4 linked regions of the Lepisosteus oculatus genome follow. The protein of the gene in region 3 binds, or shares a complex with, the protein of the main gene of each other region. Links are inferred from orthologs where the notes say so. Each region holds a gene or a part of one and is shown on either strand. Other genes may lie near its edges.

The links.
Region 1: washc5 (region 3) and wash1 share a complex: the UniProt entries of both Homo sapiens proteins name them as parts of the WASH core complex. The link is inferred for Lepisosteus oculatus from reciprocal best matches to the Homo sapiens genes WASHC5 and WASHC1.
Region 2: washc5 (region 3) and washc4 share a complex: the UniProt entries of both Homo sapiens proteins name them as parts of the WASH core complex. The link is inferred for Lepisosteus oculatus from reciprocal best matches to the Homo sapiens genes WASHC5 and WASHC4.
Region 4: washc5 (region 3) and washc3 share a complex: the UniProt entries of both Homo sapiens proteins name them as parts of the WASH core complex. The link is inferred for Lepisosteus oculatus from reciprocal best matches to the Homo sapiens genes WASHC5 and WASHC3.

The regions. Positions count from the first base shown.
Region 1 is NC_090702.1:11,587,077-11,594,627, forward strand, and holds the start of wash1 (WASH complex subunit 1), read right to left. Parts: upstream 3,113-7,551; 5' UTR 2,987-3,112; coding exon 2,979-2,986; intron 1-2,978. UniProt on the Homo sapiens protein: Acts as a component of the WASH core complex that functions as a nucleation-promoting factor (NPF) at the surface of endosomes, where it recruits and activates the Arp2/3 complex to induce actin polymerization, playing a key role in the fission of tubules that serve as transport intermediates during endosome sorting.
Region 2 is NC_090702.1:56,844,965-56,852,569, forward strand, and holds the start of washc4 (WASH complex subunit 4), read right to left. Parts: upstream 3,032-7,605; 5' UTR 2,960-3,031; coding exon 2,899-2,959; intron 1-2,898. UniProt on the Homo sapiens protein: Acts as a component of the WASH core complex that functions as a nucleation-promoting factor (NPF) at the surface of endosomes, where it recruits and activates the Arp2/3 complex to induce actin polymerization, playing a key role in the fission of tubules that serve as transport intermediates during endosome sorting.
Region 3 is NC_090705.1:7,631,193-7,638,398, reverse strand, and holds the start of washc5 (WASH complex subunit 5), read right to left. Parts: upstream 3,025-7,206; 5' UTR 2,929-3,024; exon of another isoform or gene 2,863-2,928; intron 2,391-2,862; exon of another isoform or gene 2,370-2,390; intron 1,795-2,369; 5' UTR 1,678-1,794; coding exon 1,492-1,677; intron 779-1,491; coding exon 633-778; intron 263-632; coding exon 178-262; intron 1-177. UniProt on the Homo sapiens protein: Acts as a component of the WASH core complex that functions as a nucleation-promoting factor (NPF) at the surface of endosomes, where it recruits and activates the Arp2/3 complex to induce actin polymerization, playing a key role in the fission of tubules that serve as transport intermediates during endosome sorting.
Region 4 is NC_090702.1:54,884,380-54,892,458, forward strand, and holds the start of washc3 (WASH complex subunit 3), read left to right. Parts: upstream 1-5,050; 5' UTR 5,051-5,170; coding exon 5,171-5,221; intron 5,222-5,497; coding exon 5,498-5,596; intron 5,597-6,663; coding exon 6,664-6,729; intron 6,730-7,689; coding exon 7,690-7,818; intron 7,819-8,079. Other genes in the region: nucleoporin Nup37, read left to right, coding at 378-491. UniProt on the Homo sapiens protein: Acts as a component of the WASH core complex that functions as a nucleation-promoting factor (NPF) at the surface of endosomes, where it recruits and activates the Arp2/3 complex to induce actin polymerization, playing a key role in the fission of tubules that serve as transport intermediates during endosome sorting.

The sequences.
Region 1 (7,551 bases), on a different chromosome or scaffold from region 3:
GTTTCAAGGTACTGAATGAGGTCTGTCTATTGTGGCATCCCAAAGGGCTCTGGTGTGCCTACATAAGCACTTTAAAGGAGAAGTAGGACAACAGCATTTCCTTATATGTACACTTTCGTGATTTACACACTGCATAAAACATATATGTTTCAGTTTTCCTTTGTTCGGTTTTTATTTTTTTGTAATACTATCTGCATAATTCTCTGCAGCTTCAACCTGTGCTCTGTGGGTGTGGGAATAGTCTAAAGAAGTAGTCTAGTAGTCCCTTACAAATAGTTAAGGGGCATGTGATTTAGTTTTCCCTTCAATAAGATTTTAAAAAAAATCTTTTTAATGTATTCCAAATTAAATGCATGGAAGGCACAGTGAGAACACAGTACACTAGAACAGAATTTCCAAACATCACATAGGGAAATACAATATACAATCAAGCACTTTATAACTGACAATGAAGAGGTACTACAATGCTCAGTTGTACACTTAATAGAGCTGCAATGAATACGGAATGTGAAAATGTAGAGAAATATGATGTAAAGACTGAACAAGTTGCAGCGCTTTTTCTAAGGACAAATGATTCTGAGACTCCAGGAGACGGAAACATTTGGTTTCAGAGGACAGAAGCTAAAGAAATTGCCTGCACTGATTGAAAGAACTTCTTTTCAAAACTCCCTGCTCACAGTCTTTCTAATTATCTTTTTCTTTCACAGAGCTATGGCATGTTCATGGAAATTCTTAAGTGACTCTTTCAGAATAATTGCATTTATCAATACAAAATTGAGGGGAAACAAAACAGACCCATCAGAAAAATGATAAAAATCTTGTTTCAATAATGTAGAAAATGTGAACAAAACTTTTGAGCGTGAGAATATTCTGAAGGTTCTGGCTGTCCCAGACTAAGAGTTAAAGGATGTGAGATTAATTTTCCTTTTAAAATCTAAAAAGCTTTTCATGATGACTCTCAATCTCTCACGTTTTTCTGCTCAGTAATGTAAAATGTGCCACTGATAATAATGAGATTTAAAATGACACACAAAACACATTCTTTTCTCGTTCAAGATCAAAGTACAGTGTCCTTTTCACACCAGCTCAACCAGGAAAGAATTTGTTTTGCTTAACCACCTTAGGTTATGATAAATACAATCACATGGAGGTGATTTTTGTGGGTGAACTGAGCACAAGAATGGTAGTCATGTTGTTTTTATTTAGAAAAACCCTATAAAAAACTTCTGCTTGAAGAAAAAGAGTGAGCTTGACCAGAAAAAGTTCAACTCTGACACAAGCATCACATGCCTTGTTCAACTCATAATGAATAGGACATTCAAGAAAAATTGAGCCCTTAACTCATTTCAGGAAAGCTGTACAAAGAAGGATAAGTGGAAAGTTTTATGTACATTTAAATCAACTATTTACCCATAAGGGATGTAGCCAAGGTCCAAATGTAAATACTGCTACAAAATTTTAAGGAACAGTCATCCAGAGTTTGTGACACACGTGTAATTTCAAGTCTCCACATGAGTCATTAACTTTCCCCAAAATGTAATTTCCAATGTTTTCACAAAATTACACCATGAAAAAATGGATATAATGGGATTAGAGGATTCCAAGACCTAGATTACAAGAATGAAGCAACAAAAATGGTATCGATTTATTTTGGGTTCTCGTGGATTTCTGAAGTTGAATTTGCCATGCGTTCGGATGTTGCTTTTAACCAATTCATCACACCCATCCATCCTCTAACTGCCTCATCCAATTCAGGGTTGCAAGGGATCCTGACAAGCAATGGGTGCAAGGCAGGGTACTCTCTGGATGGGATGCCAGTTAAATTCAGATACATTTGCATTTAATAGCTATAAATAGTAAAATAGTTATAAAAAACTGCTTATTACACTTAGTAAATCATTAAATTTCCTTGTTGGAGATGGAGAGTATAGAATTTTATATAATTCCTATAAAAAACGACTAAGTTACAATTTGATATCAATTTAACGCGATTAAAAGCATTTGACGAAATACAAATCACATGTTGAAAGCACTTTATTGGAGTACTTCAAGGGGTTGACTGTAGAAAACAGCCAGAACCTCTACATATCATGGCTAGTGCGCTGCATTTTTTCAACAGGAAGAGTCAACCAGACCAGCGTCACATGAGTAAGGAAGACAGTTTCAATTATCTAACTGCAGTTAGTGTAAACTGTGCACAGACATACTGTAATATGAATCAGCACTGTTTAAAATCATGCTCAAGTTCGAGACGAGAAAGGCACGTCAAAACATCTCATGTGACTTCTCCTACAACTTGGTTAAACAGCAGTGATCAAGCTAATTATGATGCAGTACAAAGCAGCTTGTTAATAGTTCTCCGCCACTTAGAAGCGTGATATAAGAGAGGAAAACCTGACACCTAGCCTTTACCTTCACCGTCTGAACAAAACTAAATTACAGATTTTGCATTTGAGTATAGGGGATAGGGGTATAGGGGATTAAGAGGCTACTGAGAATAGGCTTGTGAGAATTAAAAATTTAAAACGTCACAACTCAATCGCGTACTAATGTACACAGATATTTTGAAGCATCACACATTTTTATAATGTAGCCTAAGTGACAGATTGAAGTATGACTAACGCTATAAAAAATAGCGAAAGTATACAATGCTTGAAATGTATTATTTTCTGCAATTACAATTTTAAAACGTCAAATCGTACTTTACGTTTATTTCAATGAATATAACATACAAGCTGTTATGTCCAGTTCCTCAAATTTATATTAACTCTAAATCCGATATTTCTCTCTGTCCTACGGGAATCAACTTACAGCCTCGCCCCCTTCGTGGTGACTTTCAATCCCGCACATAGCGCAGGAAGAGTCCCTGGCTCTCCCTTTTTTCTAGGCCCCTCACAAAATCTTTGTGTGCGGTATCGAAAGAACGCCTATTAAGTTCATAAAACACAAATCAGGAATAACAAAGTAGGATTCCTTACCTGACCATTAATGATTTCTTAATATACTTATTTTCATTTAAACTTCACCCTGTTGTCACTCAGATCCTACAGTGTAACTGACAATATCACAGCACGTCCGCTCGGTCTTAGTGCCCGACAAACAACCTGCTCACTGTGATAGTTTCCTGAAGTTACAGTAGTTACTACTCCGCTATCGTCACTTTCAGTTTGAACTTTTTTAGACCAAACGTGAGTTGCTTAATAAACTAAGTTTGTTTAGGTAACTTGGAATTTTTGATTAACTGCGTATCATTCACATTGAGAAGAAGTAAATATCCTTTATTACCTAAAAACACAATAAGTCTGCAAACAACATGAGGGGGCATTCGGCCCAAAGTGCTCTTTTCAAGTAGCTAAGTGAATCTAAAAAGTTTCCAGAGTGTGGGCTTCATCCACCTAGCTGAGAGGCCTGTTTTAGATCTCAGTACACTTTTCCTGGCTCTTATTTTTTGGCTCTTCAGTCTTTATAGGGATGTATGATGTTTTGTGTGGTATGGTGACCAAAATTTAACACAATTTTGTAGTTGAAGTCTTTCTAGTGCATTGTAGACCTTTACCATAAATTATCTGAATTTAAATTCCAGTCTTTTTAATCAAGCATTGTGTGGGCTTTTTTTCCTTCCCTACATTGTCTTGATGAGGCCATACAAAAATCTACCTAAACACCCAGATCCCTTTTGTGTGTAACTTTTTGCACATCAGAAGCACCAATGTGATACAAATGGAGTATGTTCCAAATACTTTGTGCTATTCTTGAATTTAATTTGCCAAGTGTCAGCTCAATCCATGATTTTGTATAAGTCTTTCTGTTACTCCCTTGACACTGTTTATGTGTTTCCCACTCCACCTATTTTAGTTTTATTGAAAAAATTGTTAGTTTGACTAGTTTGCTAACTATACCAGAATCTAGATTGTTCCCATTGCTCAGGAAAAATGAATCTCTACACTCCACTACTCACATTTGTGGCACTGCCCAGAATCTTTGTGACTTTTAATTTGAAAATCAACCTTTTATGAGGGACCATATCAAATGCTTTATAGAAATCTTAATATTCTATGTCATATGCTTATAATATCTAATGTCCTCATTGCTTATTAGAAGAAATCTGGCAAGTTAGTTAGACAAGACATTCCCCTATCTCAACACACGTTAGCTTTCTCTTAAAATGTCCTCGTTTTTTTAAGGACATCCTAATTGGAACCCAGCATTGTGTGGGATTTAATGTCAACATCAATGCTAGAATTCTGGGGGAGCATTGGTTAAAACTCTAGACTGAAGGATTGTGGGTTCGAATCACAGCTAGGATGCTGCTTTTGTACACTAGGTGCACCACACAAAAAGAAAGTTATTGATGTACATATTTGTAAATGATAATAATTTCTCAATTTTCTTATTGCTTGTCTATTTTTTTCAACCAGGCCTACTCATGTTTTGCAGACTGAAGGGAAGCAGTGCAGGATTTCCTGGTATCATATTTGACCTACTGTAGGCTAAATGAGAAGAAGTTTGGTCTGTAGAAAAGATAACCCTTTTCTTTGCAAAAATCTAACATGAAATGTAAAATTGGACAGTGTATCCCAAAGAAACCTGAATATGTCAGGGACATGTAATAAAAATCTAAGTCATATAAAATACAGTTATTCTAAGTGGAAGTAGTATTGAATTTATGAGCTATATGCGATGAGGCCATGACCCGGCCAGACATGAGAGAAGAGAAAAAGTATCTAAAACTATGATGTTTCTCAATCTTTTTTTAACAATAAATGTCACTTAATCTTTTTTAAGATCTGATAAGTTTAACTTATATAAAAATATGTTTTCCTGGTTATAACATTATTATTTTCTGCATATTTTAAAATGACTGATTAAGTGGGAAAAAATATTGTTGCCTTTGACTCTATGTGCCGTAATTAGGAAAATCATGGTTATAAAATGATGGGTGAAACTGAGTGGCACAATGATTAACATTGCTGCCTCACAGCATTAGGGTTCTGGGTTCAATTCCAGACCTAGGGTGCTATCTGTATGGAGTTTACAGTATATGTTCTCCCTGTGTTTATGTGGGTTTCCTCCACACAGCAAAGTACAACAGTGTTACAGGGAAATATTTGTGACTTTCTTAGAATTATAAAAAATTGCCTGGATATGCATGTGTCTCCTCCAGGTTCTTTGGTTTCCTCCCACAGTCCCAAAACATACTGGTAGGTTAATTGGCTTCTGGGAAAACTGGCCCTGGTGTGAGCGTGAGCGTGTGCGTTTCTGTGTCTGAGTGTGCCCTGCGATGGATTGGCACCACATCCAAGGTATATCCCACCTTGTACTCTTTTGCTTGACCCTGTATTGGATAAAGGGGTTAGAACAAGGATTGATGTACTGTATTTCATTTGCAAAATATCAGTTGGGATTGATAGTGGTAGCAATGGAGGTTAAACGTCTGCAAATATAAAAGTGGTACTTGTTAAATGTAAGGTTTATGTGTCTTTTTATTTTTTACTTTCACTATTTGAAATAGATTAGCATTTTCAAGACAGAAAAATAGCTTAAGTGAAAAATACTGCAATAAAAAGCATCTATCCATAGAATCCCATCATAGTGTTAGTCCCTGATCTGATGAAAACACATTAGTTTAGATTAACAGAATGGAATGCCAAGATGCATTCTCGTATAAAGGCTAAGAACTTGGCCAAGACAGTAGCTGCCTCCTCCTCTTCACACTCCTGTCTTGTGAGGAAAGGTGTAAAATGAAACACACTGCACTTTAACAGCTTGTGATTGCTGGGATTAGTGTTGGTTCACAATATTGACTTCAATACACATTTGCTGTTCCACAAGATGCAAAACAAAGAAAAGGGTCAGTAGTCAGCCTACAAAAAATAGATGTTATACAACATTTTTGGGATGATATATTTTTAGGCATTCTTCGAAATACACTTCTTACTGATGATCCACACAGTGTACAACTTTGAAGTTAATGCAAATTAATGGATTTTAATCACCAAGTTTGAAGGCTTATCCAAAGAATCACATAAATGTGTTAATCTTTTAGAAGGAAAATCTATGAAATCTTTAATTTCCTCCAAATATTACTGTACATATTTACTACTAAAAGTTACTGTACTTCCTATTTTGAAGAGGTTTTAGAACATTTATGCATGTCTCTATTTCTTTTATGAACAAAAAATATGTCATTGCTTAAAATACTTTAGCAACTGAAGAACTGCTCTAAAAGCTTCAATAAACTACATTTCCTGTCATTATTGATGTATCTTAAACAATTATTTTGTGTGGTTTTAATATTGTGATTTTTAACTCAGTATTAAATAGAATGACATGGTTAGCTACTACATTAGTTTTTGTTCTGCACAATTTTGTTTCATTTGGATTTTTTTCTGCTTGCCTTATTTGTTTGCAATGAATCAGTGGCATTGAAGGTTTAGGAATGTTATGTTTGTGATTTGTATTCAACTTGTTTTCCTATTGTCGACTTTTCATTGTAAAGGAAAATTGCAGGGCAAGTGCTAGGAGATTATGATGCTTCCATATTTTATTTCGCATCCACTCTTGAAATCATCTGTTTTTCTCAGTCAAGTCTCTAAATGCGGAATGGGGGTTTTGAATTATTAGACTTAGTGATTAATTCACAAGAATTTACTTAGGAAAAATGATTAAAGTTTAAAATTGAGAGTTCTTGCCATGACATTAAAAAAACATTAATTTACTTTAAATTTCTGCAACAGGGTAGATAAAGTGAAACATGAATATGTTACACTCATTCAAGGAGAACCTTATTTTGCATTGTGAAGCTGAAAGACTCATTACATGAACATCAAGAAGGATCGTATGGTTAGGCCTGCTTCCTTCTAATCCACAATCCTAGCTCAGCTCTAATATTGGGAGTTTGTCTGTTTGGTGTTGTTCCTGTGAGATAAGCACCTAGAAAAATCCCAAACAAACACAGAGAAAAAATGCACTCCACATAGACAGATGCCTTAGGCCAGTCATTCTTTTTCTTGGTTAATATTTTTGTGTAAAATGATATAAAGGCTTTCCTTCCTTTAATAGTATTTCCTTTAAGAAATAAAAAAACAGGTCCAGAAGTATGCCTGATGCATGACAGATTTTGTATGTCAAATATATCTCCCACATTTTTCTTTACAGTCTGTAAGACTGCCTTAAAGATCTCACCCATCCTTTGCTAGTGAGACTGCAGAGCAGTACTAAAAATCATGGAGCGTCCTTCAGTTTTTCAATTTCTTTTTAAACTAAATGGGTTCGTCCCAGATATTGAACCCAGTAGGTCAGCATTCACATTATTTTATTTTTATACAGTATCCCTGAAAAACACTACAGTTTCACCCCTGAGAATCAAATGTCTCAAAGAAACTTAGTAAAGGCTGCTCTGCGTGTGTGACTGGCTATCTCGTGGACCCAAAGCTCTGAAAAAGTTGATTATGTGGCATCAGGGACCTTTAGCCACTGAAAGTTCCATAAATCTTTCTAAAGCAACCTATCTCAAAAACTTACATTAGGATGAGGTTTATGTTTTTATTG
Region 2 (7,605 bases), on a different chromosome or scaffold from region 3:
CACCCACACACGGCCCTGCACACACCCAAACACCCGTAAACGCCAGCAATAGCAAAGAAGCAACTGTCCTGGAGTAAGACTCCCAGATCGAAACGTGAGAGATTCCAGTTTCCAGCTCTCCAGAGAGCGAGCAGGAGTCAGCTCAATCCAGCACAGCCTCGGGCTGCAGGGCTCACACAAAATGCCGCCTTCTTCTGCCTATCAGAATCCTGCCTACAGGGCGTCTCCGGGACACAACTCTGCCATCTGGAAATCTGAGTCCGCTGTCGGAGCACCCCCTCCCCGACTTCCTCCTGCTCACACAGGAACTGCACGACCACGAGTGAGGGAGCTCGTCCTGCGCACCACCCTGCGCTGCTCATCTCTTGCACAACCTGGGGATGCTACTTGGGGATCCCGGGACTGTGTCATGGGGGCTGGGCAGCTTGCCCACCGGCGCTCCACTCCAGGCTGCTGTCGAGCAGGAGCGCAGGCGCCTCTGTCCCGCAGATCCGACAGCCCGCCTCTCCAGACACACGGCCAAGCAGGACGACCCAGCACGGGCTCCTGCCTTATAAACAAGAGCGCGCCGCTGCCGTTTCATCTTAAACACAGCCAACTATCTGAGTGTGCGGCTCACAACGCCAAAGCCCTCTCCACACTGTGTAAGACACAACACAGAGAAAACAGCTGACGGACTGCCGTCTCCTTCATCCTTACAAAACAGTTACACTACCATCCGCAAGCTCCCACGCCACCTTTCCACAGACAGAACCATCAGCAACGGCAGCATGTCCTCCTGGTTCTTCTGTAAAGGATGTTGCAATGCGACACTACTACAACACCGCACTGGAACTGCACACCGAACGAGAAGGCTGCGAAAGCTCCTTTACTTTCAGTTCCACATGCCCAGTAAAGCCCTCAATTCACCCATTATGTTAACAGCACTACAGTGTCTCCTGACCTAGACTGCAAAGGCAAAAAAGAAAGAGCTCCAGGGCTTTTTTTTCTAGACCTAGGAAAATGAACTGCAAGTCCCGTGTAGAAGGGTTCTTTCACAGCAGCTAGACAGAACTTCCTTCAACCACACTGAAACCGCTGCAACACAATCAAGTTCTTGTCAAGTACACACACCACCAGGGTCTTTTCAAGAAACGCCCTGGGATTTTTACTGACCACAGCAATTCTGGACGGCACCTTTTTACAGTCCAGCCCCTGACCCCTTGACATGAGCCCAGCTGACCCCAGAACTCCTGACCCACTGACCGAAAAGCTACAGATTCCTTTCCTTTTGTTTTCATAGTGGATGGCAAAGAACTTCTATTCTCTAAAGAGATACGAAAGCCAGATCTTTATTGATTATAAATGATCTTGGACCTTCAATACAGAGGTAAGGTTTTTCCATATGGAAAGCACAATGCTGACACTTTTTCTTATGCGAGTTTTATTCTAACCTTTTGTGTTCAGAGCTGGGGAGCTGCTGTGTCCTTGCAGAGCAAAAACAAGTCAAGCAGAGTAATCTGGACGGGTGGCAAGATTACCGGCACATTCCTGAACTCAAAAACATGCCTAACGGGGCGATTATTTATCTCGCGATCAAATTTAGACCCCTCTCATCCTTTCCTCTTTTGAGAAGATGCTCTCCTGCTCCCTTCGTACCAGAAATTCAGATCCCCTGCATAAAGACTAAGAGAGCATTTATTTCCTCCACACCTAACATTCAATTGTTGAGCAATGTACAGAGTTTGCAGGTAGGGATCATGTTATTGTTTTTAGACCCTGTACTAGCTAATCGTCTGTTTTTCAATCTTATGATGTATAACTGAGTTCTGCTTGAGGGATGGGGTTGATTGTCGTCCGTATTGTTGCTGTATTGTGTTACTGTCATTCACGTTACATGCTATGAGCTCTTGATGTGCAAGACAAATTCCCTTAGGGGCACTAAAGGTAGGCTCAATTCAATCAAGACGGTTCTAGATGAATAATATGTTGCATTTTGAGGCGTGCAACTTCTTCACTATGCAACATATTATTCACCACCGCAGCCCGTTTTCAGCTGCTGCGACGGCGAGAATTAGTATTACTACATGCATAACAGTGCTGATGCGAAAGACCTAGGGAGAAGCGAAACGGTTTATTCTGTGCTAATCTCGGGTGAATACGGGCGGAAAAGTGCACAGTACATAAGCACAGATACAGATTCGACCCGTCGAGCCTGTCTGGGAGGCTGGATCCGGCGATCGCGTCCAGCCGCCTCAGAGGAGAGCGGGCTCTGAACCCGCAGCATATCCGGTGTGGAGACTCACGGTCCAGGACAGCCCTGGACCTCAGAGCCCAAACTCTCGCCCTCAGGATGGGCGACCACTGCTACACAGAGCTACACGCTGGGCCAGGAGGAGGGGGGTCCCCATGACACACCCCCGAGCCGACACACAGCTCCAGGTCCAGAAACCAGACGCACCTCTGCGCCGGGTCTAAACAGCACCCAAATCACGACACCAATGACCCACCTTCAGACGTACAGCCGAGTCTCACCGGAGAGCCCCCGGACGACAGGCAGCCGAAACCCAAAGGCTTTTAACACAGCGGCAGCTCTGATCACTCTGGCGTTACGACAGCCGGCTCTGCTCCCACAAATTCGGAAGTACAAAAACACCTTACTCGTCGCGGTATGCTTTTCTGCGCCTTCACAAATATCAACTGCACAACTGTCAATGAATAAACATTACTTCGAGCTGCCACGGCTCGTCCCGACAGACGAAAACAACACAGGTCGCACCTGACTGCCAGCTTTCTGTGCGAGATACAACTACCAAGCTTCACCAGTTCCGCTTTCACTCTCCTTCACACAGGCACCAACAAAACACCAAACTCTCCGTTACTTCGTCTGCCGTAACCCACATAAACGAGATCGCTTACTCTGAGACCCGTCGTCAAAACGATCAAACTCCCAATCCGGAGAGACTGTCTCCACCGCCATCACCACAGTCCGTTTTCTCAGCTGCAGTGACGGCGAGCAAATGTGAAGTGCCAATTTTTTGGGATCCCGTGATTTACCCCGTGACTTCCTGTTTCCCTCGAGCGAGGAACTGTGGGAAATGTAGTCTATACAACGCCTACGTTCAAACTCAAAAAAGCTTAATTGTAATGACAGGTGACTTACAGTATTGCTAAAGCTGTATTAGGCTGTGTGCGTTGAGGCATTTCTGTGTGCGTTGAGTCAAGGTATATTATGTTAAAATATATAGTATAACGCACCAGTAATGCATAATTTAGAATATGGTGTTCAGTTTCGGTCACCACATTATTGAAAGGATATTGCTGTTCTGAAATCAATCCAGAGAACAACCAGACACATTCCAGAGAATAAAGGAGTGAACTACACCGACAGGCTGAAGGAAGTTAAGATAGGATAAGATGACTTTATTGGCCAGATACAACTTCTTGCATTAGGAATTTGTCTTTTCACAGACCCCAGCTTGCTCTTCATGAGACACACAGACAGGGAGAGAAGCTGGGGGTCAGAGTGCAGGGTCAGCCATTTATACAGCGCCCCTGGAGCAGCTGGGGTGAAGGGCCTTGCTCAGGGGCCCAGTGGAGTAGGATTCCTCTGCCATCCATGGGATTTGAACCAGCAACCTTTCAGCCACAGGCACAGATCCTAAGCCACAGCACCACCACACCACCCAGTTGAATCTAGTCCAGAACAGAGTCTAGTCCAGAACAGAGAAGACTACAAAGAGAGCTAATTCAAGTATTCAAATCCTTGAAGGTCCTGACAATGTCACCCCAGCAGACTGCATGGAAGTTCCTATTAAAAGCAAGAACAGGAAGGCCCTGCTTTACCCAGAGGGTTGTGGGGGTGTGGAACTCTAACGTTACCAAGCCATACTGCAGGAGCTGACAGCCTGGCTTCCTGCAAGAAACAGCTGCATAATATCCTGGAATAAATTAATTACTGACAAATCGAGCAGACTGGGGCTGAATGGCCTCTCTCCTTTGCAGCTTTTCTTATGTTTTTATAGATGTCCGCTATGCAGAGGGAGTCACCGTCTGTCGGAGACCTGTACACACTCAGACTAAAGAGGCGATCGGAAATGATGGTCGACGACTCCTCTCAGCCAGAACAGAACCCGGTGCGTTTGAAAAAGCCGCCTCAGGAAAACTCTACCGGTCGACCAAAACCGCCCGGGATCTGAAGAGCTTCTGCGCAGGCAGAACAGGGGAACACGGACGTAGCGTGTGTTTGTGTATTAATGTGTTCCTGTGCATGTCCCTTGTGTGAAGTATATACATGACTCGTTTCTATCTATCCATCCAGGACACCAGTCCGAATTCCGTTTTGACGGAGGAGGTCAAATCCGTGAATAATCGTGTGCGCTTCTCTCTTCTGTCAGTACTCACTTCCGCGCCTGGGCAGCAGAGGGCGCTGCCATCACGCTGATCGCCTTGCGGGAGTTAAGACGAGGACAATAGCAGGACAATTCGTGCTGGCTCTGGGTTAAGAGAAATAGACATCAGGCAGCATCGTCCACGCAGTGGCTGAACTACCGTACTGGGCAGTACTGTCCCGCCAGTGTTACAGTCTGAAATTAGACGTCATGGGACACTTTCTTTACTGGCACGACGGATGAATTACAGAGTTGCCAAAATAGAAGCAATTAACGGAACATTAGCAATAGAAACATTATTGGACATTTGCAGAAATAACAAAAAAAACACATTACTGAGAGACAGACTCACTGCTCCTCAGTGACACACTGTCTTATTTTTACTGAGAGAAGGCTCAGTGTTCCTCAGGCTGGGACAGGAGATCAGTTTAATTATTACTATTAATAATAATAATAATAATGATAAGACACACTGGCCCTGCTGGACCAGGACTGGACACCCCTGCTACAGACACACTGGTTCTCCAGGACCAGGACTGGGCAGCCCTGCTACGGACACACTGGTTCTCCAGGACCAGGACTGGGCAGCCCTGCTACAGACACACTGACCTCCACTGACACTGACCCCAGCAGGGGGAGCTCACCCTGTGGTCCATGTGGGTCCTAATGCCCCAGTGTAGTGACGGGGACACTAGACTGTAAACAGGCACCGCCCTTCGGATGAGATGTAAAACCGAGGTCCTGACTCTCTGTGGTCATTAAAAATCCCAGTGTGTTGTGTTTCTCGAAAAGAGTAGGGGTGTTACCCTGGCGTCTTGGCCAAATTTCCCTTTGGCCCTTACCAATCATGGCCTCCTAATAATCCCCGTCTCTGAACTGGCTCCATCACTCTGCTCTCCTCCCCACTGAGAGCTGGTGTGTGGGGAGCATTCTGGCGCACTATGGCTGCTGTCGCATCATCCAGGTGGGGGAGGGGATCCCCATTACCTGTAAAGTGCTTTGAGTGGATTGTCCAGAAAAGCGCTATATAAGTGTAAGCAATTATTAATTATTATTAATTAAATTCCTGTGTTTAATACGATCATGGACACAGTCCACAGGAGTCTGAGGGCAGCAGAGGGCTGTTGATGCAGTGTGCTGCAGAGAGCCTCACCAGCTGAAGCACCAGAGCTGTCGGGGTGATTTCCTCCTGGGGGAACTCCTCTGTTCTTCCAGGGCCCCACCCAGCCTGTTCTCTCACTGCAGAGAGCAGCCAACTCCACCGGCCAGGGGTTAAAGTAAGACAGCGGCGGCTGGCGACAATTGAGAATTCAAGGTCATTGCCTTCGTAATTCACCCAGGAGCAGCCAGCTGCCAGGAATCCATGGAGTCCTTTGTCTTTGAGGACAAAGCCAAGGTCTGGCAGAGCCTGGGAGGTTGTGAGTTAAACCACTGCTGTAAAACCAGATCTCACCTGTAAACGTCGGAGAGGACAGTTCAGGGCAGGTAGCAGGTAGCCCTGGACAGCACATTAGTCCATCACAGCAATGCAGACTAATACGGGTGGGTGGACTGGAGCAAATGGGGGTAAAGTACTGTACCTCTTTCAGGGTACACCAGCAGTGTCTGCCGCAGAGATCCAACCCACAGGCAAGCCCACAAAGTCCAGAAACCTAAAACTATCCTGCCCCAGTGATCCTATTGTAGCAGTATGTGACAGGCTGTCAGCTGCCAGAGCTCGGGCTGCTGGTTATTACTACCATGACTAACAGCAGCTGTGGTCCTCTCTATATAAACTGGTGCTCTGGTTAGTATATATGGGATTGTGGAAGAAACCTGAGACAAATCACACCCCTGGACCCCTTGACCCCTGGATCCCTTGACCCCTGGACCCATAAAGAACAAGACAAATGACAGACCCAACCTTTGGATCAGTGGAGACACTGATGATCGCCAGACCTCAAACAGACACAGGACTTGTTTCTTTTCTGGGGGGGCTTTTACTTTCACTTTGCAATGAACGTTGTTATTCCTGTCTCTCATTTAGTTTTTTGTCTAATTGAAGTCAGTGCTGCCTTGCTTGGTTTTGCTCCTATAAAAGAGCTGTTTTCCGACGTGCAACACAGTATTGACACACCTTCTTATTTCGGGGTAACGTTTCCAGCAGAAGCCTCAGTGCAGCGTGTCCGGCAGGTCGGGGTGCCCTGGATGAGCCCTTCAGGTGACGCGGCGGGACAGAAGCAGGGCCCAGCCGGTGCTCAGCAGCACCGTGCGACTTGTTGCCTCTGCCTCCCGGCGGGACAGCGGCCGAGCCGGAGGGATCACCCCTTCTCTGTTACCACCAGCGGCCCTCAGTGCAGTTCTCGCCAACGAGCTGATCGGCTGCAGCGGATACCCCTTAACCACAAGCGCCGCCGCACGAGTGACTCATCACCCCCGGCGGTTCCTCGTACACGCCGTGCCTGAACCCTCAGTGCGCACTGCTCGGGGCTCGGTACCCGTTTCTTGTCTAGAGCTTCTACCTGCCTTGTCTGGTCGGCCCTTTTGGACTCGCACCTCACTGCTCGCTCCTTGACCACGACTTTGCCTTACGATTTGGATTGGATTTCCCTGCAGACGCCTTCGGCTTCTGATCCCGTTTCTCGTTCCTGGACCTCAGCCCTGGCTTACCATTCGGCTTTGGATACCCAACCTCGCTTGCGCCTGTTGTCTCGATCACTCTCTCTTACTCCACATGGGAGACCCTGAGATACTGGCCTTGGTTGCCCTAACATTCTCTAACCTCTTCATCCAGTCGGGGGTCGCTGGGGAGCCGGAGCCCCTTCCAAGGGCGCAAGGCAGGTTACGCTCTGGATGGGACGCCAGTCCAGCACAGGGCAGACAGACACAGACACACACCAGGGGCTCCAGAGACACACTGGTGGGTTAGTCGCGGGTGTAACTGTGCGTCTGCCCTGTGATGGACTGGCGTCCCGTCCAGAGTATATCCTGCCTTGCGCCTGGTGCTGACCGGGTCAGGCCCCAGCTCCCCTGTGACCCCCTGTGATGGCTGAAACTCTACAGAATCATTTTAAGCACAAAAGGCGTAGCCAAGACCCCACTGCTCCAATAATGCTTTGAAAGCAGCGCATCAAAGAATTCCTGTCCAACAATGGAGGTATGTAGGATTAATAAAGAATTAAGGAAATTAATCTGCAGGCGTCCCGTGAGACTGCTGCCTTTTCCCAGGTGGAGCTGCATTTCAGAGCTGAGCAAA
Region 3 (7,206 bases):
TATATATAAAACACAGTCAATAAAGTCAATTGTTAAAAGCAGATGATAAAAGTGAATAAAACAGTGCTGTATTTCTACAATGTTAAAGATTATGTTCAGTTCTCCAGAAACCCAGCTCTCAGAAAGAGCTTAAACGTGCAACTAATTTTGTTGAATAAATGCACGACACAAACATACCACGAGCTGTTTCCCATCTTCATTCAATAGAATGGTTTCCAATGTCTGCTGAATGTAAACACCTTCATTAAGATCATCCAGATACCTACAAAGACACAACGCGATTCATCCGTGTGAGAAACATGCAGGTCTACAGTTCTGCAAAGTACAACGTTCACATCCTGCTTCTAGTAATGCTTTTAGAAGGCATCACATTGATTTTCCACATTATAACACAATGTACTTCTTGGTACTGTGACCCTTTGAAGAAAGACCTGTCAAAGATAAGTTGATGCACTCTGAACCATTGGTATATCCATGCAGCAAAATTGTGCACAAATACCAATCAGTGACATGTCACACCTATAGTTCTCCTGCTATATTAAAGACAGGGACTGAACACCAAGGTCACAATTAAATGCTAAATATGTAAGAGACAACCAGAAAAATAATGAAGTTCAGGAAGATCTAATTACCTGTTTAAATCCACAATGTATTTGTGGACACTTTCAAATGCAAGGTAAAAGCGTGAGAGTATTTCAATGTTATTTTCACGGAATTCTTCGTCTAAATCCTGGAGCTCTGGCTTGGCCTCCAGTTTGCCTTCGTAGTGTTCTGGACCCTTGGAGAAAAAAAGACATAACAGATTCCTTATAAAGCATATTTATACATCATGATAGCTATTGCATCCCTCTCTCTCACTGCCATAAAAGCACATTCATTACACTTCAGATTGTTTGGAGAACAGGAGACTCCTCTTTACTCAGAGGGTTAGGGGGTAGGGAACAAGCTACCTAGCCATGTTGTTGAAGGCAAAATGCTGGCTTCTTTCAAGAAACAGAAGAATGAGATCCTTGGATCAAATAGCTTTTAATTACCAAATGGGTTAGATGGGCCAAACCGCCTTCGCTCATTTCTATCTGTTCTTAAACCAAGCAATAGGCCGAAGTTGAACATTTTCAAGTAAAAACAAGGTGGCAGATGAACATTTAAAGAAATGATTGAGTGGAGTGGTGGCTCTGTGGCTAAGGATCTGCGCCTGTGGCTGGAAGGTTGCCAGTTCAAATCCCACGGCTGGCAGAGGAATCCTACTCCGTTGGGATTCTGAGCAAGGCGCTTAACCCCAGCTGCTCCAGGTGCTGTATAAATGGCTGACCCTGCGCTCTGACCCCAAGCTTTTCGCTCCCCATCTGTGTGTCTCATGGAGAGCTTGTTGGGGTATGTGAGAAAAAAAGTTCCTAATGCAAGAAATTGTATAGGGCCAATAAAGTGATCTTATCTTAACATAAAGGTCAAATGGAACCTGTCAAAGAGACACAGTTGAACGCACTTTACCTTAAAGTAACTGAAATCACAGATAATATCCCCATATTTCTGTTGGTCAGTTTTATCTTTCAGCCTGAAGACACTGGGAATGAAGTCCGAGAGTCGGAGGAGTTCTGCAATGACCGCATTCCCTCGGGAAACAATCCTCAAGATGGCTTGGCCACACAAATTATTCTCCGCTAGAAAGTCTACCATGGCTGACACTCAGATCAAAGCTGCAGAGCCAGAAAGATATCCTAAAGCATTCCTCAGCCTGGCACCGTCAAAGAGTCATACAGTCCGGAGGAAGCTCATCTGGTAGAGGCACGGGACCTAAAACAAAACCAAGCGAACAAAATGTAACCAAAGATCAAAGTTTAATATTGAGGAGCATATAAGCCAGCTATGTCACTTCATGAAAGTCAGGGTAGTTTTTCACATAATTGGGCTGAGCATAAATGTATTAACACTTTGAAAAGATTACTGTAATCTGTACAGACAGCAACAAAGCAATGAGAATCGTTCAGCAAACCTTATAAATGGCAGAATTATCATTTAGAGTAGCTAGAACTACACTTTTTGAGGAATCAGATCAACCACAAATCTTTGCTCTAATATTTTCCTTAATGAATTTAATCTTTTTAAATCGCTGTTGTTATTTTTTTCCACAAAATATATTGATTTGATTTGACTGATATTGAATATATGGGTTGATTTTGACAAACAGGGTACTCATCTATATTACTTGGCACATTGCTGCAAGCAGTGTTATGGGCCCATTCTTACAGAGTCTTACAAACCACAGTACAGTCTCTACAGCGCTACGACCAAGATGACATCCTTTAGAAATATGTCTCATGGACTCCACAGGTACAGTAAGATTAAAAAAATGCTCCATACTCACTTACAATTATGGAGTAAGTCTTTTGCACTAAAACGTTAGGTGCTGATATTCCATTGAGATATTTTTATATCTTGAAACAGATAAGCATGAATATTAATAACATGTCCATAGCCTGGTAGGAAGGAACTGACTACTACTGATCAATTTCATGGTTTTTAACAAAAGCCGGATTGTTCTTTCGTAGACGTAACTCAGTTAACTATAGTTAAGAACTCTGTTACACATTTATTAAATAAAGGCTCCTAAAAGGTTAACAATCTTAAATGATCACGTATATCTTTACGTATCTTTAAATTAACGTAACTGTCTATGTTTGAGTTGCGGCTTCAGATTTGCATCTATCGATTTATTTTCCACGAAGATGGTTGTTCCTACTGTACATTATTTCTCCTTACTTCCTAATTTCCCTGTCAGCCTTGAGTTTTGCAATGAGAGGCAGCTCGAAACAGACGGTCCCTTTCTTAACATCGATAGAGCAACAAGTTTAAATTATCTACCTTATCCTTGCTTGTTTCTTGCAAAAAAAATAAAACCTATATGAAATATTGGAATATGAAACCCACCACAGTCCCCTTCCAGTCTCCCGTTGTACAGAACGATCACATGACACTTGGACTGGAATCATATGACCCGGTAGTAGTGTGTGCAGATTTATTTATCGGTGCTGCTGCACCATCAAGTGAGAGCACACGGTGTTCATTGGTGCGCTTTATAAAACAGCAGTACGATTAATCACCATAGGTGCAAAAAAGGTTTACGGCTTACGCCGTCCCTTGAATTCCTCTTTTCTACTCTCTCTGAAGAGATCTTTTCGCTTCGGAGATGTTTTATTACACCGAATTCCTGAAGGCAGATTCTTCCGGCCTTGTGTCGGGCTGGGAGTTGTGGGATACGTGAAGTTCCGGAGCTCTCTCGCCCAGTTAGTGTAGCTCATCATTTCCTCAGATTAGTCACTGCAGCGTGTACAATAACTTCATTAAGAGCCAGATTTATGTTGTTACGTGAAACAATCCCCCTTCACGATCAACGATCGCTTGCTAACCCGCTGCCTCGAAGTTGTGAAGTTGGCACACTGGTCTGAAAAGAGGCTGCCCGAGTTCTGTGGATGCGAGAAAAAAAAAACTAAACTAACACTTCACTGCAGGTGTCACTAAAGGGCTTTTGAATTTTCAACAGCAATCTCACTATCTCTTCGGTTGTTTTCCCAGCAGACACTCATGAACGACTAGAAATTTTTCATGTTACAATTACGTAAATTGTGTACTTAAATACTTTTTATCTTTTAAAATTGAATTAAAAGTGTGCACTATTTATTACTAAATTGTACCACAATAGTTTCTTTCATAAACGATACACACATATATATCCCTTATATGTAATATGTAATATGTTTTAAGTTTAAATCAGCAGGATAAAGCATAAGAATTTTACTAAATGATTAATTGAGGGGTTTCAAAGCAACGGAAATAGACATGAGAGACTTTTTAATTTTTGTTTTTTTTAGAAAATCAGGGAACTACATCAAAGCACGATATAAACCTAACCGTGGTTTATGCAGAAATTAAGCATGCTTATAATGTAAATAAATAACGTAGAAATCTCAGATTAAAGACAAATTTAAATAAATTAAATGAAAAATAAATGACTCTTTGAACGACTACCTCATGCCCTTGCGTATCAATTAAAAAGAGCAATAAAAATATGCAGACACACCTCACATAACCCAAGAGAAAAGCAAATAAAGAGCTAGGACCAGCAGCTTCTGGCTTGACTGGAGTGAGTCATTTACGAGCCTGCACTCGTACAACAAACGCCACTAAAAAATAAGTCTTCATTCTCTAGAATAACTATAACATGAAGAGCTTGGTTTAAAACACAAATCAGATAAATTTGCCCATCTCGTTCTACAGACATGGATTAAGTCTGTTAGCCTGTTCTCTGACGTTTGCATTTCGCTGCTCTTGTCCTTAGACATCCCTGCCTTGAGAGCTGTTTCATACAAACACAAAAAGATGGTCAGTTTTCTTGGGCAGGCATACTAAATGGCTTTAATCAAGTCCGTAATAATTGTACTGTTGCTCTCGCAGTTGGAAGCGTACAGTAAGTACCTGGTCATCGTGGATTGTGGTGGTGGTGCGCGCTGGGGGATTTGGGGCGGTTAGCACAATGAAAGTGTCTTTGCAGGGGGCTTTTACTGCGAACGAAGAAGCAAACAAACACAACACTAATTGAAGATTTGTATCAAAGTGACATCTGTATTTTGGTTTTCCTTGCTGAGTTATTAGCAGTCATAGCCTTATGTTGGGTACTAATAATGTCCTTATGTGTCATCTTTTCCTGACAGTGTTGTTCATCAACACTAAACCCACTGCAGATATCTTATGCTAGTCTAGAGTGTTTGCTGGAAACAATAGTCTCAATTTGATCCTTGTGTAAAAGAACACTGTTTCTGACACAAGCCCTTTGGCTAAATGCATTCAACCTTTAACATGACCCTCCACCACAACACCTGGCTTGGGGGGTAGTTAGAAAATTAAAACAGACTTTCATGGATCAAAGCTTTTGTTACAAACTGCAGAGCTGGGTGGTGTTTGAAGTTTTTAGACCATTTCTTATTTGTTGAATACTGCACATCCTTGTTGTCTTTGTTGGCCAGATCACATGTTATTTGTCAAATTGTAAAAACTGGAGCAGAAATTATTTATTTTAAGACCTCTAAGTCTGTCAGAGGTAAAAACTGTTTCTCTATGTTGTGCAATACTTCAGTAATTCCTTACTTTTTTCAGGAGCCATTGGAGTAGCTGTTTGTACTGGAACAGTTTATTACCATATCAAAGTATATCAGAACACAAATATTAGAATCTGATATCGATTAAAAAATAACACTTATTTTGTTGTTTGAAAAATCAAAATAAAGGCAAAACTCCACAGAGGTAAAACTAGACAAGAGCTCTAAATGGAACACTTTATGTTATCTATGTTTAGAGGTTCTAAAAATTGGAACGAATAGGGGATGTTTTTGAATTTTAAAACAAAGTTTAAAACAGAAATCAATTAAACCTAAAGACATTTACGAAAAACTGAATTTGGAATTTGAGTCCAGGCCATTCAAGATGTACAGTAGATGGCTCAGCTTCTGCGTTCACAGACACGGCAAGGGTTATGAATTGATGCTGTTGTTTTACAGCAGCGGGAGAGAGAGAGAGTCCAGCCGGGTGATGAGCTCTCGCTGCCCTCCAGGTTTGCAAACCAAATTCAGGGCTGTCAGCACACCGTCCTTGCAGTGCAATGTGGGGCCAGCTCTGTGCTGTCTGCTCCTCTCTCCAGCTCTGGGAGAGGCAGGGCGGCTCCACATTGAAGACGCCCACTCACAAACAGCGGGCTGGGCTTTTCTCTTCCACAGAAATCAAATGGAAAGTGGATTAACTGGGCCGTTCCCATGCCCATTATAATACCAATCTTACTCATCAACAGTTCCAGCTGAGCCCTTAATCTCCCGTGCTAATTGGTGCCTCTGACTGATCTGCTAGCTGGTTTACCTTTTTTTTGCTGCACTCAGTCCTTGATTTCAAAACCACCCCAGTGAGAGGTTCATTATTTCCAACACCTTTAGGACGGGGAACTTTATGCAATCACTCCTCGAGTTGCTAATTAAGAATTCCCTCACCCATTTCCAACTAAAACTGCTCTTAAACATTGGAGATTGTACTTATGAAACAATAGTAAAAAAAAAAGGCAACCTCCTGTATTTAGTAACTGAAACCAGAGTTTAAATTAAATCTATACTTTGGTCTATTAAGGGAAAAAATGAATGATTTGAGAGCTCAGACTGAACAAAAACCAGTAGAAGAACCTGGAACCCCAGTTTGAGGGCCTCACCTGTAGTGAGCTTGCTATTAGTTTGCCAAAGGAACTGGGACAAGTTCAGACTATTTCTTACCATTTTCTCTCTTGAAAAATAGCATTAAAATGAATGCTCTAAAGCTTCTGACATGTATTATGTGGAAATTGCAAGTGCTCAAGGAGCAGTAGTTTAGCCTTCCAAGTGCTCTTCAATCAGCTGAATGTTATCTTGGCATTACCACTGGCAGAGATCAAACATGGGTGTTATCAGAGCACTAATGCATTTCAGGAGAGCAAACATCCACTTGAGGTAGGTGATCCTGCGATTCAACAGTCACAACCAACAGTTTGGTTTAACACACACCTATTTACTATAGTTCCATTAATGAGCAAAAATAGACTTGTAGGCACACATGGAATGTTTTCTGCAACACATTGTATTTTAACCTCAAACGAGAAAATGATAAAACGGACCGTCTTTTTGGTAAAACTTATGCAAATGTATACTGCCTTGTACCCTGATCTCACCTGACAGAAGGCAAATCGAAGGCCCAGTTCTCCTGTCTGTGCTGGGATGGGAGTCCTCTACAGTAAACTCCTTCAGCAAGTTGTATTTGTGGACCAATAGCTGGTACTCTTCATTCTGGACCTCAATTTCCAACTCAGCACTCCCGTCTGATGACCAAGGTCTCGCTGCTGTCCCTGGAGCTGCCAGCTGTCCAATCAGATGCTAAGGTCCGGACTACATGGGCCAATAAAGGTGCCATGACTAAAGAGAGGTGGTTTTAACCCTGGTGTCCTGACTCGATACCACTCTGGGTTTATGCAATCTGGCCTCCCTCCTGACCCCCCCCCCCTCCCTGCTCTACTGTGGAGTGGGGATACTGACCTGCTGCGCCTCACCCAGGTGAGGGATGCCCTTCAGTGGTGGATGAAGTACAGTAGGTCACTTCTATTGTAATGTGAGTATGTAATGTAATGAAGTAATGTGCTTCCAG
Region 4 (8,079 bases), on a different chromosome or scaffold from region 3:
GATCAGTTTTGAACAAAGCTCAGGACAGCCCACTGAGCCGAGTGTTAAATAAACTGTTATAGGTCACAGTATTACATCTTGTTTAAAACCTTAAAATAACATTATATCAACATAGCATAGGGATCTAGGATGGTACACTTCTGTGCTTTTTGGCAACAGGATGAATCATGTGTTTTTTTAAAGAAGTACCCAAAGACTAGAATTTCAATAAAAGCACACATCTGAAATTTCAAACATTTGGTGCCCCCCAATAATCTGCTTTTCATATCGTACCTTTAAAAGCAATCATGGATATGCTGATCTGATGAAGGTAAATTATACTGTTGTGTTGTGTATCGATAAGTTAATTGTTATTTCAATGTTGTTTGTGATTGCAGCCGGTGATGATTGGATCAGCTTCTGTGGGGGCGGGGCTGAGTTGGCACAGGACCCTCCCACTGTGTGTGATTGGTGGAGACCGGAAGCTTTTGTTTTGGATGACAGAAATGTAAAATCGGCTGCATAATATGTTCTGTTAAAATGGCTACAATTTCAATAAAAACTTTTTTTATAGAAGTGTATCAGTTAAACAATGAGCAGTTGTTCTTCTGTTCTTCTGAGAGTGCTTTGCGTGTTGCCCACAAAGGACAATAACAGTTTGATTAAAGAGAGCAGGACACGGATGTTTTTATTAGCTTTTCTTAGAAAAGTATTTCAAAGAACTTAACCACCGCTGTCCAGCCCAGCTGAGGGCGAGTCTGGGGTCAGTGCTCTCTGGAGTGGAATGTGTCAGCGCGCTGCACAGCAGATTCGTCACTTGCAGAGCAGGCTCCAAGTTCGGCACAGAGCAGGCTCGGTCGAGACAGACGCAGTGCACGAGGGGGGAGCCTGGGCGCGTTACTGGCAGGCTGTGGGTTCGAGCCCCAGGGGGGACACTGCTGTTGAACCCGTGAACAAGGCACTTCACTCATGTGGATTCATGAAAACACCAATACAAACATGAACAGCTTTGGATAAAAGCATTGGCTACATTATTAATAATAAAGTTCACATGAAATGAAGATGTTTATAACAACCTTCAAGAACCTGTGTTAGGCAGCACATGTTCCTGGGGTGGCAGAGGTGTGTATTTGTGCCTGTAAGGCTCACCTCTCTAACTCTTCCAAACGGGCTAGATGGGCCGCCGGCTCTCTTCTTGTCCATATCCGTTCTTCTCTTGTTAGGAAGAAGGTTTGCTCTTTTCAAAATTATTTTACAGCTGTGAAGAGCATGTTCGTGTGACGTGTGAATAAGCAAAGATATAGAAACCAGAGGAGTGAAAGGTGGTCAGATCGACGAGGAAAAAGAAACCCCTTCACAGAGCAAGTGAATTGCCCCAGGGCTAGCATACGCAATGAATGCTCAGCTAAGTAAGGAAAGGTAGGCAGAACGGAACACTGTTGGGGCTGTGCCTAACTTAAACCCTTTTCTTCCCCAGTGCCATAACCATAGAAGTACCTTAAAGTGTGAGACGGCATCTCAGGGATAGAAATGGATCCATTTAGAAGATGAAAAGGCATGAGCACATGTGCTCTGTTACTCAGATGTTCAGGAAGGAAGAAACACAACAATGGTAAAAAATGATCCAGTCTCCAAGGTACCAAAATTGAAGAGTTCCACATAGTAGGAGAATTTCAGACAAACCAACCTGATGGTGGATATGACACATGAACCACTTGCAAAGCATTGATTCAGTTTGATAGGCATTGTATAAGCTATACTGTAGCAAGTGAATGTAAAGAGTCACAAGATTTAAACAAGAAATGTATCTGGACTATCATACAAGACATTAGAAAACAGCTATAAATTGAATGGTTCGAGATTAATCTGAGGAAGCAAAAATACAACTGTGTGTACTACATCATATGATTTGCAAGCACTGTCTGGGATCTAAAGCATATTGCTGTTTCCAAATGTGACTTAAATACTCTCTTGAGCAGCACTCTGTCTGCAGAGTCATCAACACAGAGTGCGTGCACACTCACACATAGAACTGACAGCCTGCGGGCATCGTGAATGAGCCTACTGAGGTGGTCAACAAAACTAACCACACGGGTAGAAACTCACGAACAAATATTAAACGGCGTCAGTATTATTCAGCTACGTGCAACATGTGTCGATCCTGTCATCCCTTGAGCCTCCGTTCCAACTTCCTTAATGACAGGACAGTCCTCTCTCTCTGGTCCAAGGGAATTGCACTGGATGATGGCCCTACAATGTCTTGATTTGGAGGTTTTGGGGCAGTTTTGCATGAAAGGTTAACTTTGAGGAAGCACCCCTTTTAAGGATAGGTTAGTATTCAGTAAGGAGGGTAATAACATGAATCAAAGTAGCCAATAAGCCCCATGTAGCTAATAGTGTGATGCTGAGATCAGTAGGAGCCCCCAGTGAGCTTTCTAATCTACATTAGTGACCTAATCCTGGGTGGTGTCAGATAATTATTCAAAATTAGGTTGAGAAGCAAACCCCACTCATGTAGGAAGAAATGCGGTGCAGGTATTAAATGCAAATAAGATTGTACATTCTAAATGTCAAGCAGGATGCTTAGAATTGCTGTAAAAGGTTCTGAGCTGACATTCAAAGATCTCTGGACCCCCGGTGGCTTTAAAACTGCAACATGCTTCTGCAACCATATTCAGAGTACTTCGCTCAGTTCCAGTCATTATACTGCATGTCAGAAATACATTGGGAGGAATTTCAAGAAGGGCAGCAATGTTTTCCATTCGAAAGGAACGACAAACAATTGGCAAACGAATGAGAAGGATGTGATGGAGATGTTCACAGTCCTAAAGGAACACAATAACTAGCACAGCTTCAAGCTTAGCAAGGACACTGTGACCAGAGGACACAGACACAACACGCAAATGTGTTAAAGACAGAAAACACTGTAAGAGTGTGCGTGTGGCTGGTACACACAGAGATTAGAGTGTGGGTTTTTTTTTAATCGCATTTTGCCTTGGAATCTTTTAGGAGGAATGCAGCAAAAGTGGCCAAATTAGAAAAGTTTGATAGTGAAGCTGAAGTGCAGGTCATTTCTGGGACATTTAATTTGATGACGATGTGCAGACTGCACATTTTTAAAAACAGATTTAGCAGTAATAACACCACGTCTTTCACATTTGCCTCGTGAAATGACTGGATTCCGGGCCAGATCGGTCTTGTGAGGCACCTTTTTCAAAGACTGCAGGCACAGGAGGCCGTGTTGACACCCAGCCAAAAAGTGGGTGAACCCCCGAGCAGAGGGTATTTGAGGTCATGCCAAGAGAAGGAAACGGAACAAAGCTGGAAGAGATTTTTTCAAAGAAAACCTCAGGAAACTAAGACTGGGGGTCTTTTAAGGTCGTATACTGCTGGTTGGCAGGAACCACGAGGAGCAATTAGAGATTTCAAGGAAAAAGTGGAGGGGGAGGCGGGCTGGTCGGAGGTGGAAGGCTGTGCTTCAGTCAGTGTGCAGGAGCTGTCCGACACGGCTCTGCGCAGCGGCTGCCACACTCGGCCCCCCCATTTCACAGCGAGGAAAACAAACACGCTAGTTTAATAAAGGGAGGAGGACAGTGTCTCTTGTTTTCTCCTCTCTTTTTCACGCCTGTTCCTTCTTCACTGTCCTCACAGGTCAGATATCCTGAGAACATCGAAGGAGCAGAGACCTTCCACAGCACAGGTCGATAGGCCGTATTCATTTAGAGCCATTGGTCACTTACTGACTTGACCTTTTCTGTTCCGGATTGGAAACGTGCTTGACACGTGACACAATATGTTTAACGCAATGTGAATCCATTAAGAAATAATAGACATGCATGTGTGATGCGAAACAAAATAAATATTGATAAATATAGTCAAATATACAGTCAGCAATCCCAATTGAGCAGGATAATTGCTGTTGGAATTAAAGTGACTGTAGCTGATAGCTGTGAATTTTCATTTTTTGACCCAGTAACAAAGACTGACTGAGGTAGCGGTTTTCATTATCAGCACTTTTACTTTTAAATACGACTTCTACCTAAATGCCGTGTTTTTAATTTAAAATCCTGATGTCTTGAAGCCTGAAGTTCAATATTGGGCAGCCCCTTACAATGACTGAAGTATATAATATAGTATTGATGCATCTCACGTCTGTCTCCTGTTGTAGTGAGGCTGTTTGTTAATTCTGAATGCATATAAGCATGAATGTATACTTTACAAAAGAAATTTGTTGCATTTAGCCGTGCTTAATCTGGTACAATTACTTTCGAGAACATTTAAATCACAACTGTAGAATGTGCTACCATCTAGTGGTGGATTGGCATGATAGCATTTTGTTCATCAAAATGAAACGTAAACCGACGTCTTCGCGGAACACCAATTACAGGAATACCACGAAAAGAAAACGTCCTGACTGTGTGCAATTAAGCGATTGTTGGTTGACAGCTTTTTTGTGATTCTTCCAAAAAAAATCATTCCTCTCAGTGCTTGTTATATCCGGTCCTAGAAAGATTCGTATTGTAGAGCTACTGTATTAAGTTAGTCAGTTAAATTATGTCTGTGACTATCATTTGAGATTCTCCTGTGTTCCAAAACGGTGACATTTTAGACCTCAAAATAAATGTCCTTCTTTTGTTAAAGAGTTTAATCGAAATACGACTCTAACCAAATCTTACATTCTTTTCCCACACTGAGACCCTTTACTCTGTTATACTTTGCCTCTGTTAGTCAACGTTCACACAATTTTCAAACATATTTCACTCCGGACTCGCGTGAAGTACCAAACTATCTAGCTACAGCTGCCTGCCAATCCGTCAATACCAGCGAACAAAACAATTAATATTTAGTTAATATTTAAAATTTCTTAACTCTCATTTTCAATACACAAAAATGTTTATTAGCAAATAGCAAAATCACTGCAGTAATACATCGGGTGGGAAAACAGCAATTACCACGATACAGTACTGTGGTATATTCGCTCTGTTTTTTATCTTTTGTTTTATATATTTATATTCGCTTGGAAAATGCACAAAAGCCTGATTGTTTCCGGGTTGCTGCTAATCACGTGAGCTGCACGTGACTCCGCCGCGTGACGTTCCGCAAATAAAACAGGAAACACCGGAGCTTGTGTGATTCTCAGACAAGTGTGTGTTTCTTTCCTGCTTACAAATTAAAAAGTGCAAATAAAGACATGGACGAGGATGGACTGCCAATCGTGGGATCGGGAATTGACCTGACAAAGGTTTGTGTTGTGTAGGTCAAAGGTGCATGTGTTCTACGAAACAAAATGTGTCGGTGCCTGACAAAATGATTTGTCTATCACTTTGCGGTAACGTTTTTGCTGTAAAAGGACGTTTTTAGGGTGCAGTTGGAATAAGAAAATAATATGAAATTCGCAGTGTAGTGTAAGACAATTCGATGCAGTATTTTACTAAATGTGCACGCTCGACGAAGGCATATACTAAAAAAAACTACTACTAAAAAAGAAACACTGATAAGACGTTGTTTCGTGTTGCAGGTTCCAGCCATTCAGCAGAAGAGAATCGTTGCGTTTCTCAACCAGTTTATTGTGCACACGGTTCGGTTTCTCAACCGGTTCTCCACGGTATGCGAGGAGGTAAGTGCTGCTCCGCTTGTGTTAATTGTGTCGCTGGCTTCACGCTGCTCCGATGTGTTGTGCCTGTGTAAGATTGCACGGCTAAGACCACTTGCTCTGCCTGTCTGACACTGAAATATGTTACCCCGACATCCTAGCCAAGTTTCCTCCTATTAATCCCCATCTTTAAACTGGCTCCATCACTCTGCTCTCCTCCCCACTGAGAGCTGGTGTGTGGGGAGAGTACTGGTGCACTCTGCTCTCCTCCCCACTGAGAGCTGGTGTGTGGGGAGTGGACTGGTGCACTCTGCTCTCCTCCCCACTGAGAGCTGGTGTGTGGGGAGTGGACTGGTGCACTCTGCTCTCCTCCCCACTGAGAGCTGGTGTGTGGGGAGTGGACTGGTGCACTCTGCTCTCCTCCCCACTGAGAGCTGGTGTGTGGGGAGTGTAGTGGTGCATCATCCAGGTGGGGCTGCACACTGGTGGTGGTGGAGGAGAGTCCCCATTACCTGTAAAGAGCTTTGAGTGGAGTGTCCAGAAAAGCGCAGAAGTGTAACCAATTATTCTTCAGCTGGAGACCGGGACTCACACAATGAGACTGAGAATTCTCATGTGCAGCACTGTGTGTGGAACTCGCAACCCAAATCCATCATAAACTTTGCTCATCTTTTCATTATTTGCTTTTGTTGTGTATGTGTACACTACTGCACAGCGCATTGAGTTTCTTGAAAAGTGCTGATAAAATTATAATAATAATGTCATTAGCTGTTATAATCCACAGATAGTTAAGAGAAAGATGATTTTTGTCATTTGGTCTCTCTTTAGGGTATATTTTGAAAAATAAGGAGGTACCTACATCTACCATTTCCACTTCCCTTACAGTTTTTTCAACACTTCATTCAGTATGGTGTTGACGTAAAACACTGCATTTTCTCATCTGAATTTGTCCTTTTAATTATATTTTAAATAACAGCAGAGGAAACCCTTCTTAACAGTAGCGTATTTTTAAATTAAACTCATTTTGTACTGATATGCACAGGCTGTTCATTTGATAGACTATGCAAAGATTGTTTTCTCTACTTTTATAGAAACTAGCAAGTGTATCACTTCGGATTCAGCAAATTGAAACAACTCTGAATATTTTAGAAGCTAAGGTAAGTATGTTACCTCTCCATCAGACCCTGGTAACTATAGTTAAATATAGAGTACAGTTTCATAAAGAACCCTGATGCACACAGTGCATGTTACACTGTAACTTACAGTAGTGCAAAGTTAAGACACAGGGAAAGATTTACCACTAACACAGAAAGACATCGCCTGATTCAATCATTGCCATTGTCAAATGATTTAGATAGTTGATAAAGAATAAGTTAGTGTCTTTTATGCATTAATTAGAACCCCTCGTTCAACCATAGTTCTCAAGAACCCAAGTCCAGTTTGATTTCTACTGTAGGTTGAAGTGAAGATTAGAGACAATTTCAAGTCACTGATAAGATAAGATCACTTTATTGCCATATACAATTTCTTGTATGAGGAGTTTGTCTTTTCACATACCCCAGCTTGCTCTCTATGAGACACACAGACAGGGAGAGAAGCTGGGGGTCAGAGCGCAGGGTCAGTCATTGTACGGCGCCCCTGGAGCAGCTGGGGTGAAGGGCCTTGCTCAGGGGCCCAGTGGAGTAGGATTCCTCTGCCGGCTGTGGGATACGAACTGGCAACCTTCCAGCCACAGGCGCAGCTCCTTAGTCACGGAGCTACTGCACATTTAAACAAGTAATTGTTCAAATAAGAGAGCTAATTTGTGATGGCTAGGGTCTTCTGATTTGGATTCCAAAAGATTAATTGAGCACACGACCTGTTTAACTGATCACAGTGAAATTGTTCCAGGTCTATGGACACGTATGATTTATTGAGTATCTCATATTTAAATAATTTGGCCCTTCCTCTCCGAATAAGTTAGAAATGTGCAGATTGCTTAAAGTCACAAGGAAACAGTCAACACAGGGGAATGACAGTAACTGTTATTGTGCCACTTTCTGGGGGTTTAAAACTTTTACAACTTTAAATGGCTCACATTTCCAACGGGCGCTTTTATGTTGGTTTTCCCCTATTAGCTCTCCTCTATTCCTGGTCTGGAAGACGTGAGGGTGGAGAGGTCCGCTCAGAGACAGGTGTCGGAGCCCAACGGTCCAGTGTCCACGCCAGTGCAGGCCCCGTCTTCGGCAGTCCCAGCCCCCACTGAGGTGACTGCTGCCCGAGGGGTGACCCCAAAAGCTGGACTTTTGTTTGTTCTGACTTCTTGTTTTCATTCTTTCCAGTAGGATTCAAAATCGTTTAGAGGACATTTTGGGGGTTTGTTAGTTAGTTTTGTTTCTGAGATCTCTAGAGAGCAAACAGCTGGCCGGCTGTGAACGACAGAAGGGCAGGCATCACTTCCAGACCCTGAAGGGTGATCCCCCATTCCTGGAAGTGGGCTTCGACTAACCTCCTCGCCTCTCTGTGCC